Callithrix jacchus: one gene and its partners. The protein of the gene in region 1 purifies or fractionates together with the protein of each later gene. This does not show direct contact. Links are inferred from orthologs where the notes say so. Each region holds a gene or a part of one and is shown in the gene's direction. Other genes may lie near its edges. The genes, in order: MECP2, YBX1 and DDX56.

Region 1 (3,750 bases):
AGAATGTTAGTCTGCTGTCTGTTCAGTACTGTGCACCCAGAACCTGGAAGAGTGCCTGGCACATAGCAGGTAGTCAATAAATGAATGGGGGCAGGCAGCCAAATCAGAACCAGGTTTTCTTGCTAAGCACAGAACTAACACAAAGATCATTGCATGGATTGGATAATGACTGGCACCAGGGTAAGGTCCCCTTAACAAACATCCCTGTCCTGAACGCCTGGTTGGCTAACACTTTTTCTATACTCTTATTTTCCCAAAACACAGTTGCTGGATCTCAACTGCAAATCAACTCTTCTAGGAAAGTGAAAAACTGCTGGATCTCAGCTCCCAAATCACATCTTCCAGGAAGACCTAAGTGCAGCTTTCTCTGCGCTCCTTATTCACACCTCCACCAAACCATCTGATCCAACAATGACAGGTGTCACGAGGCCTTGGCATGCACTCTCTTCCCCCGCCAGAGTTCTGCGAAGGCCAGGGTTGGGATTTGTCGTCAGTTTATTCCCCGCCCCTATGAGCGTAAGCACCCGGCAGGCTCAGATGAAATAATGCAACGAGTAGGCCTCTGAAACCAAGGCCCCTCAGCTGGAGCAACGTCAGGCTCCAGGGCGGACAACTTTGCTGCTTCTGCTGAAGATGGTGATATTGAGAAAATGCGGGTGCAATGCAACCCTTTTGCAGCGCACTCGATGCATCTGCGGACAGAGGGTTTGCTTGGGACGCAAACAACGTCCCAAGCCTACACCTTCACTTGCCCCAGCATCCGCAAGGGCCCATTAATCCTTAACATTCAAATTCCGCCCACTAAACCCCTCCGCGCCCAAGCCGCCTCTTTTCCCCAAACGACGGCCGAAAGCAGCCAATGAACAGCTAGAGGGGTCTGCCCTCTTTTCCCTGGCCGAAATGGACAGAAAATCTCGCCAATTGACGACATCACCGCTGAGACTCCCCGCCCCAACCCGGCCGCCCCAGCCAATGACGGGTGGGCTCGCAGCTGCGCCGGGGGCGGGGCGCGGGCGCGCAGGTGCAGCAGCGCGCGGGCCGGCCGGGAGGGCGGGGCGCGACGTCGGCCGTGCGGGGTCCCGGCGTCGGCGGCGCGCGCGCTCCCTCCTCTCGGAGAGAGGGCTGTGGTAAAAGCCGTCCGGAAAATGGCCGCCGCCGCCGCCGCGCCGAGCGGAGGAGGAGGAGGAGGCGAGGAGGAGAGACTGTGAGTGGGACCGCCGTGGCCGCGGGCGGGGACCCTTGCTGGGGGGCGGGGGACAGGGGCGGGACGTGGCGCGGGAGGGGCCCGCGGGGTCGGACGACACGGCTGGCGGATGGCGTCCCTCCTCTGTACCCTCCCCCTCCCTCCGCCGGTGGCGACTCTCCCCCTCGGCCCGTCACCCGTGCTCGCGGGTGACCGTCCTCGGCGCGGCCTCCCCGGAGCCTCCTTCGCCTGGCGCACCTCTTTCTCCCGCCCTCTGCGCGCATCCCGGCCCCCGGCCCCCGGCCCCGCGGGCGCCGCTGTCGCCGGGGCTTCGCCTGTCGGGGCTGCGCGCGCTCCTGCCCTTTTCGGGGCTTTGGGCCGCGGCGTCGTCGCGCGCCCGCGGCCCCGGTCTCTCCCTGGATCGCGCTCTCCCCTCTCCCTCCCTCGCGCGCCCCCTCTCCCGTTACTCGGCCCCCCCACCGGCGCGCGTGCGCACTTCGCCTCCCGTCGGGAGAGTGCGCCACAAGGGCTCCTGCGCTCTCACCCCCATCTCCGGGCTTTGCCTCCCCCTCCTTCTCGCCCATTCCATGAATTTCTGCCCCCACTGCGAGCGAGTCGGTCCGCCGGCTCCTTTCCCCATCTAGCAGGAACAAGTAGGTGGGGATTATTGTCCACAAAAGGGACTAGACATTGTGTTCTGGGTCCCACAACTCATCATAAAGGGGTGGTTATAGTTCCCATCAGGAGCCGTGGGTAGGGTGCTGTGCGTCCAGCAGCACCCGAGGCTCTTCGGCGCCTGAGGCTCTTAGGTGTGAGCGTGTCCTCAGGGTGCTCAGAGGTTCTTTGGGGGTGCTGTGGCCTCGGAATGTGAGCACCCTCCCATCCTACCCCCCCTTCGCCGGCGATCTTCCAGTTACATAAGTGGAGTGGGACATAGTAGGTAACGGGCTCTCATCGCCCTGGAGCGCTCCGGATCACCGGTACGAGATGGGGCAAGTTTATCGCGACGCTGTGGCTACTGTTCATTGTGCCCGAAAGGTTATTCTCTGTTGAGTTTGGTTATGACCGAATCACCCAAACTGAAACTCAGATGACTTTTGTGTGGCAGTGGCAATGTTTCTGTGGTTTTGCACTAAAGACTTAGGGTCATTATGAAGAGTTTAAAAGGATTGCTCTCGAAGGGGAGACCGTTTATGACATTGATAAGTATGGACCCCGAGGGGGAAAAAGCTCATTCTGGAATTGCTCTGTGGGGGTTGCTTCTGTTGTGAGTGTGTTCGGGTGTGGGTTGGTCACAGCAGAAATGGGCTCCACCACAAAATTGATATTCCTGACTCATGGTCAGGCAGATGTGTGCTTCTGGTTATTTTTCCAGGAACAAGAATGGGCTCTGCCGAGCCTTTCACAGGTTGTCTGTATGCTGTGTGGGATCAGTACCCCAAACTGTTGAGATAACAGGATCGAATTCAGGGCTTGGTTGGTAATCGAGGAACCAAACCTACTTGGATCTGGTATTGAGTGGCCTGAACATTGAAGGGCTCTTCTAAGTTATAGGCATTTTGTTATACTGTAAAAATGAAGTATATACGGCCTCGGTAGTATCATTGCAGTCATAGATAATTATCACTCTAGAGAATTTTGGATTCCGTGCCTGGGATGTTCATCTGTGTCTCAGCAATTTCAGTTAATAACCAGAGTCAGCTGACCTCTTGGGTCTTTTGAAATATGCTAGGTCCCTATAATAAGACAGGGTCTGGATTTTTTCATCTTTTGGGAATTTCCACCAAGGATTTAGGAAAATAGGCTTATTTATGGGCTTTTCAGGATTTCTGTTTCAAATCCCAGTCAGGAGTCTAGGAAACACTTGCTTTTATTTTCTTACCTGGATATGTCAGAACCTTAAATAACACAGTCAATCTAGAAGTAGTAAGTACGGTTATTAAAATAAGTCACCAGAGGTCACCCATTCGTGGCAGGTCAGCTAGGTGGCTGATCACTGGAATACAGTCACATCCCCAGGCAGACACACAAGCCTCACTTGATGATCACAGAGTTTGTACATCTCAGCTTGAGACATGACAAGTTAAGGTCTCTGCTTTGTTCTTCATAGTTGGCAGTTTGTCTCCCTGGTACCCCTCCAGTTAGCTGTTTGTCACACGCCTAGCCCTTTCAACAGCACAGGCAGCTTCCAGAGTATAGTTTTCTCTGCAGGGTGCCTGTTGGAGGGGTACCTCCCTTTCCATTGTCCTAACGGCTTGAAGAAAATGTCGAAGGCTTTCTTGTTAGCACTGGCCTATCAAACCTTTCTATTGCCTGTTATTAAAATTTTGCCTGGAATACTTTAGAGTACCGGGTCTTTGTTTCACCTGATTGGTAGGAGAGTATCATGCAGTCAGCCGTATTCTGACTTTTGTGCTGTTGAAATCCTGAGGTAGGTCTGGGGCCAGGCACAGACCACTGTGTGTTCAAAGAGTTAGGGTGCTTGCATTCTGTGTGTATGTGTTTGTGATTTCCAACGAGTCATTTCCCGTGCCTGCCCTGCCTCTGTGCAGTCTCATCTATCGGGG
Region 2 (3,113 bases), on another chromosome or scaffold:
ACTATTTTCTGTCTTACATATATAACCATTTTAGTGGGAGTGAAATAGTATTTCATTGTGATTTTAGCTTGCATTTCTGTAATGACAAATGGTTGCTGTATACTGTTACTTTTATGAAGGGAACATGTTTGGTTTTGAACAGGCTGGATTTTAAACACATGCCTTTTTAGGAATTGTTCATCTGTAAAGGTTATACTGTTTACAAATTTGTTTACCACTTAGCCCATTTTGATCTTTTAGAATGACAGCAAAATGTTGATGGCATTTGCCTACTATTAGCTATTTCAGGATTCATTCTGTAATGCTATGAACAAAAAAGTTTGCTAGTCCATTAAAACCAGTTTTTAAAAGTCATCTTCCAGTTTATACTCCCATCTCCTTACACAAATTGCCTACAGGCCACTTGATACAGAGAACAGGCTAGGCATGATGAATTAGTTGAGTGAACCAAATGGTAACACTGCTGGTGGGTGTGTTGAAGAGAAGAGGTTTTATCATTCTTAAGTTTGACAACATTTATTGCAGGGGCCCTCCTCGCCAAAGACAGCCTAGAGAGGACGGCAATGAAGAGGATAAAGAAAATCAAGGAGATGAGACCCAAGGTCAGCAGCCACCTCAACGTCGGTACCGCCGCAACTTCAATTACCGACGCAGACGCCCAGAAAACCCTAAACCACAAGATGGCAAAGAGACAAAAGCAGCCGATCCACCAGCTGAGAATTCGTCCGCTCCCGAGGCTGAGCAGGGCGGGGCTGAGTAAATGCCGGCTTACCATCTCTACCATCATCCGGGTAAGCAACCCTGGATGGCCACCATTTATGGCAGTCATGAATGGTGTCCATTTCATTTTATTAATGCAAGAGTGGGGAAAACTCAATTCTATCAGATAACGAAAGCCATGTTATTTACATTGTGTTCTGCCCTATTCTTAATTACCTAAATATTTCATTTTAGGAGTATTGAGTATCAGAATCATATTTGGCCACCCCTCAGCTAGTTCTCAATTCTGACACTGGAGACCTGTATTTTCATGAGTTTTTTGAACTATTGGAGCTTTCTATCAACTTTTCTGAACTTTGTGATTTGACCAGTAAGCTGAGAAAAGTTTCCCTAGCTGTATTCTGAGAAAAGTTAATTAACATTGTTATTTATGCATTATTTAATAAAAGAAGTAGTATAGCTATTAGAATGAACCTATACAGTGACAGAGTCTGTTTGGGTAAAGTGGCAACATGGATAAAATCTTTTTTTTTTTTTTTTTGAGACTGGAGTTTCACTCTTGTCCAGGCAGGAATGCAATGGTGTGATCTCAGCTCACTGCAACCTCCGCCTCCTGGGTTCAAGTGATTCTCCTGCCTCAGTTGTCTGAGTAGCTGGGGTGACAGGCATAAGCCACCACGCCCAGCTAATTTTTTGTATTTTTTGTATTTTTTTTTTTTTTTTTTTTTTTTTTTTTTGAGTCGGAGTTTCGCTGTTGTCACCCAGACTGGAGTGCAATGGCACAATCTCGGCTCACCGCAACCTCCGCCTTCTGGGTTCAAGCAATTCTCCTGCCTCAGACTCCCAAGTAGCTGGGACTACAGGCATGCGCCACCATGCCCAGCTAATGTTTTGTATTTTTAGTAGAGACGGGGTTTCACCTTGTTGACCAGGATGGTCTCGATCTCTTGACCTCGTGATCCACCTCGGCCTCTCAAAGTGCGGCGTGAGCCACCGCACCCGGCCCATTTTTTGTATTTTTACTAGAGATGGGGTTTCTCCATGTTGGTCAGGCTGGTCTTGAACTCCTGACCTCAGGTAATCCACCCATCTCGGCCTCCCAGTGCTGGGACTACAGGCATGAGCCACTGTAATCATCTGTAGTTGTTTTTTGTTGGTTTATTCAAACTGTAGGTTAATAATAATAATGCTCTGGCAGACCACATGATACATTTACGTTCTTGTTACCAGCTCACTTGTTTTTGTTAACCTTAAATTTCAAAATTAAGGGATTCATTTTCATTCAGCTTTTTGCATGATACTGAGAGGTGTATGATTGTCGTTCCCTCCGAAATTAGCATTCAACCAGAGATGATTTGCTAGGTGGCAAAAGATCTGTTAATGTCTCCCAATATATAAGTAATGTAAACTAGAGTATGTACTACATTAAATGAAGATTACCATGAATTCTACATGATCATCTTTGTTTTTTTTCTTTACAGTTTAGTCATCCAACAAGAAGAAATAAGAAATTCCAGCAATAAGAAATGAACAAAAGATTGGAGCTGAAGACCTTAAGTGCTTGCTTTTGCCTGTTGACCAGATAAATAGAACTATCTGCATTATCTATGCAGCATGGGGTTTTTATTATTTTTACCTAAAGATGTCTCTTTTTGGTAATAACAAACGTGTTTTTTAAAAAAGCCTGGTTTTTCTCAATACGCCTTTAAAGGTTTTTAAATTGTTTCATATCTGGTCAAGTTGAGATTTTTAAGAACTTCATTTTTAATTTGTAATAAAAGTTTACAACTTGATTTTTTCAAAAAAGTCAACAAACTGCAAGCACCTGTTAATAAAGGTCTTAAATAATTGTCTTTGTGTAAATTTCTGTCTAGTTTTGCTTTAGTTTATAAGTTCTTAGGTATTTATAAGACCCTTAGCCCAGTCTACAAATAGATGATGCTCACTGGTAATTCCCTCAGGTAAAATGTCTTTAAAATCTCTAATCCTTTTAAGTGGCATGCCTGTGGGTTCATACTGAAAATTAGAAAATACATATTCTGATAACCTGGCCATTTTTAAGGAAGACTTTGTGGTGTAGATTTTGTGTGGGTTCCTTTGGCTGTGTGGCAGTGCTTACAAGGGATGCTCTAGTCTAGACTGGCCAGATTCTGATCCTTCTCCACTTAGTTTTGTCACCTAGGGAGAATTTATTTCAATATGCCAATTGAAGATGCCAACTTAAAGTGTTCAGAGAACCTGTTACAGGGCCTGATGTGGTCACCAAATACTGGTTCAGCTCCTTATGTCCTAGAAATGGGAATAAATAATACAAAAACCCATGGGAAAGCTGCTTAAGAACATGGAGGTTGGTCAACTTGTAGTTAGGTGGTTCTCCACACCTGACAGCCTAA
Region 3 (3,650 bases), on another chromosome or scaffold:
GCTGGCAGTAGGCACAATGGAGCACATCTTAACTATTCTGGTAGGTTTCTCTCGGTAGTTTTTGATAGGAAGGGTAATGGTGTGAGGAAAAACTGAGCATAGATTTCACCTTTCCGCTGATGAGGCAGATGCAATTGGGATAGCCAGTGGATGGGCCAACAGCTAGTGGCTGTGAGGAGAATAATAGTTTCCACACTGGTGTGTCATATCTGCAGATAGGTTGCCACCTAAAAAGATTTTTTAAAACACAGCAGTTGGCCCGACGCTATGGCTCACGCCAGTAATCCAGCACTTTGGGAGGCCGAGGCGGGCGTTTCACGAGGTCAAGAGATCGAGACCATCCTGGCCAACATGGTGAAATCCTCGTCTCTACTAAAAAGTACAAAAATTAGCTGGGCGTGGTGGCGCGCGCCTGTAGTCCCAGCTACTTGGGAGGCTGAGGCAGGAGCATTGCTTGAACCCGGGTGGCGGAGGTGGCAGTGAGCCGAGCTCGCGCCGCTGCACTCCAGCCTGGCGACAGAGCGAGACTCTGTCTCAAAACAAACAGAAAAAATGAGCAGTTAGGGTATACACGCGCTGATCGGAGCACAACCGCTCCACGGCCTCCTAGACCGAGTCAGGCTCTGCGCAGCCGCAGAGCTTCGCCAGAACACCGGAAGCCTAGGCGCCAGGACTTCCGGGAAGTAACGGCGTCTCCGAAGCTGATTGGTTGTTGCTTTGCGCCAACCCCGCGTCAGTGGTATTCTTTTCGCAGGGCGTGCGTGCTGCCGCTACTGAGCAGCGCCATGGCGGACTCGGAAGCACTGGGCTTTGAACACATGGGCCTCGATCCCCGGCTCCTGCAGGTACACGGGGGGGCTGGGGAGCCGGCTTACCGGCTCCACGGGACACACCATCACTCTTCGCACCGCTTGAGCCGCACTCCTGGTCTCTCCTAGGCTGTCACTGACCTGGGCTGGTCGCGACCTACGCTGATCCAGGAAAAGGCCATCCCACTGGCCCTAGAGGGGAAGGACCTCCTGGCTCGGGCCCGCACGGGCTCCGGGAAGACGGCCGCTTATGCTATTCCGATGCTGCAGCTGTTGCTCCACAGGAAGGCGGTGGGTAACGAGAGAGCTGAGGGGAGGAAGGAGGCGAGCCCCCAAAGCCTGGGAAGAGCGGTTCCCGTTTGTCTGAGGTTCTCTCTTGGCCCTGTACCCATGCAGGCTGGCCTGGAGTTCAGGTTACCTGGATCCTTGTCTAGGCCCTGCTATGATCAACTTTTGTGTAATCTTCAACAGAGCACTTTCTTTTCTTTATTACATAAAAAGGGCAATTTCTCTTCTACTTATAGAATTATTGTGACAATTTAGCTCCATAAATTTAAAGTAGCTTCATAAACATAGAGTACATTATTCTTTTGAGGGTCAGTGCTTGGGGAAAATGCTCTGCATTTTGAGGCGGGCAGAGTGATGGATGATCAAAATACAGCTGAGCAGTGTGGCAGCAGATGGGTCAGATAGGCTGGAACGGGTAGAGAAAAGGATCAGGTGGACACAGTGACATGCACTGGTGGCTAAAGTTTTTAATTCATATTCTTACAGACAGGTCCGGTGGTAGAACAGGCAGTGAGAGGCCTTGTTCTTGTTCCTACCAAGGAACTGGCACGACAAGCACAGTGCATGATTCAGCAGCTGGCTACCTACTGTGCTCGGGATGTCCGAGTGGCCAATGTCTCAGCTGCTGAAGACTTAGCCTCTCAGAGGTGGGTAAAAGCAGCAAAGCTGCACCTGAATGAAGCTACACAGAGTTGTGGGGTTGGGTTTATGTGTGGCAAAAAAGAGAGCAAGTCCAGGCTGAGATCCAGCTGCTACGTTCTCCCTGATACTGATGTCTTGCCCACCTTCAGAGCTGTGCTGATGGAGAAGCCAGATGTGATAGTGGGGACCCCATCTCGCATATTAAGCCACTTGCAACAAGACAGCTTGAAACTTCGTGACTCCTTGGAGCTTCTGGTGGTGGACGAGGCTGATCTTCTTTTTTCCTTTGGCTTTGAGGAAGAGCTCAAGAGTCTCCTCTGGTAAGGCAGAGGTGGGTGTGATTCCTAATGGAAACATCTGTGAGTAGGATTTGGGACTACAGTGGGATGGCGGGAAGCCAGTTACCACAGTTAGAGGCTCTTGGAGCTGGAATCTCATTGGACTCTCATTTCAGTCACTTGCCCCGGATTTACCAGGCTTTTCTCATGTCAGCTACTTTTAATGAGGATGTGCAAGCACTCAAGGAGCTGGTATTACATAACCCGGTAAGGGACACCATGGAAGTGGCTGGAGCTGCAGGCATGGGGGTACTCGAAGATCTTGACACTCCTTCTTAGAGGAGCCTTTGGTGTTTTGGGTGGGATAGTTGTCAGTGTCTCATCCCTGGTTCTGAGGCACTAAAAGCCAGTGGTCTAAAATCACTATATATTTCCACGTCTCCATAAGGGATGTCTCCCATTTCAGGCCATACTTGGCCTAAAATCCTGAGCAAGGACATAATGGGTGGCTTTGAGCAGCAGAGCCAAAATTCTAAGGCCAATGTTCTCATCTTAAGTAAACTTTACCTTTCAGAAGGCTGGTTGCTGTAGGCCTTCCCCACTTGATGTAATTCTTTATTGATGTGTTTCTCTTCGTTCTGTGCCTGGAAGTATTTTATATATGGTTCCTGTGGTATACTCGATATACCACAGCAGTTAGGGCATTTTGGGTTTATGTTACAAAACTGGAGGAGACTTAGGGTGCCAGGAATCCTGAAATGCCTGCACTGAAATGTTGATATTTTGGTTGGTGAGTAAGTGGCCATACCATCTCTGTGTTCTCTTCCTTTCTGACCACAGACCTGTCTTCTCCCCAGGTTACCCTTAAGCTACAGGAATCCCAGCTGCCTGGGCCAGACCAGTTACAGCAGTTTCAAGTGGTCTGTGAGACTGAGGAAGACAAATTCCTGTTGCTGTATACGCTGCTCAAGCTGTCATTGATTCGGGGCAAGTCTCTGCTCTTTGTCAACACCCTAGAGAGGAGTTACCGGCTACGCCTGTTCCTGGAGCAGTTCAGCATCCCCACCTGTGTGCTCAATGGAGAACTTCCACTGCGCTCCAGGTCTGCCACAGCCAACATCTTGGTTGAGATCAGTTGAAGATAGAGACAGAAAGAGGACCCAGTTAATGTTCTGTTTCTTAAACATTTAGTAGGGGCCAGGTTCTAGATGTGACTGATACTGACTGACTTCTTCAAACTCCGATATACCTATCGTTATCTTATTTTCAGTTGAGGAAACTGAGGCACAATGATTAAGTAGGGAAAGAGATTAAGAAGAGGAAAAAGAAAGGGTGATAGTTACTATAATACTAGGGATGGCAGAGGGGCCTCACGCTTGCTCTGCCAAGCTGATCCTCTGTCTACTCTTGGCTGCAGGTGCCACATCATCTCACAGTTCAACCAAGGCTTCTACGACTGTGTCATAGCAACTGATGCTGAAGTCCTGGGGGCCCCGGTCAAGGGCAAACGTCGGGGCCGAGGGCCCAAAGGGGATAAGTGAGTCCATGCTGCTTTTCCCATCCCTCCTCAGAAAAACGTGGGTTTTTGTTTTTGTTTTGTTTTGTTTTTTAGCTTTTTGGAAGACTAAAAGCA

The links.
Region 2: the proteins of MECP2 (region 1) and YBX1 purify together in Homo sapiens (affinity purification with western blotting; 3 studies listed by BioGRID, with this or other methods). This does not show direct contact. The link is inferred for Callithrix jacchus from reciprocal best matches to the Homo sapiens genes MECP2 and YBX1.
Region 3: the proteins of MECP2 (region 1) and DDX56 purify together in Homo sapiens (affinity purification with mass spectrometry; 3 studies listed by BioGRID and IntAct, with this or other methods). This does not show direct contact. The link is inferred for Callithrix jacchus from reciprocal best matches to the Homo sapiens genes MECP2 and DDX56.

Annotation. Positions count from the first base shown.
Region 1 is NC_133524.1:150,008,659-150,012,408, reverse strand, and holds the start of MECP2 (methyl-CpG-binding protein 2), read left to right. Parts: upstream 1-1,112; 5' UTR 1,113-1,145; coding exon 1,146-1,204; intron 1,205-1,675; exon of another isoform or gene 1,676-1,836; intron 1,837-3,750. UniProt on the Homo sapiens protein: Chromosomal protein that binds to methylated DNA. It can bind specifically to a single methyl-CpG pair. It is not influenced by sequences flanking the methyl-CpGs.
Region 2 is NC_133508.1:79,348,528-79,351,640, forward strand, and holds the end of YBX1 (Y-box-binding protein 1), read left to right. Parts: intron 1-525; coding exon 526-760; 3' UTR 761-791; intron 792-2,201; 3' UTR 2,202-2,569; downstream 2,570-3,113. UniProt on the Homo sapiens protein: DNA- and RNA-binding protein involved in various processes, such as translational repression, RNA stabilization, mRNA splicing, DNA repair and transcription regulation.
Region 3 is NC_133512.1:12,665,384-12,669,033, reverse strand, and holds part of DDX56 (putative ATP-dependent RNA helicase DDX56), read left to right. Parts: intron 1-754; coding exon of another isoform or gene 755-785; coding exon 786-845; intron 846-938; coding exon 939-1,100; intron 1,101-1,583; coding exon 1,584-1,744; intron 1,745-1,888; coding exon 1,889-2,059; intron 2,060-2,193; coding exon 2,194-2,284; intron 2,285-2,874; coding exon 2,875-3,119; intron 3,120-3,434; coding exon 3,435-3,554; intron 3,555-3,650. UniProt on the Homo sapiens protein: Nucleolar RNA helicase that plays a role in various biological processes including innate immunity, ribosome biogenesis or nucleolus organization. Plays an essential role in maintaining nucleolar integrity in planarian stem cells.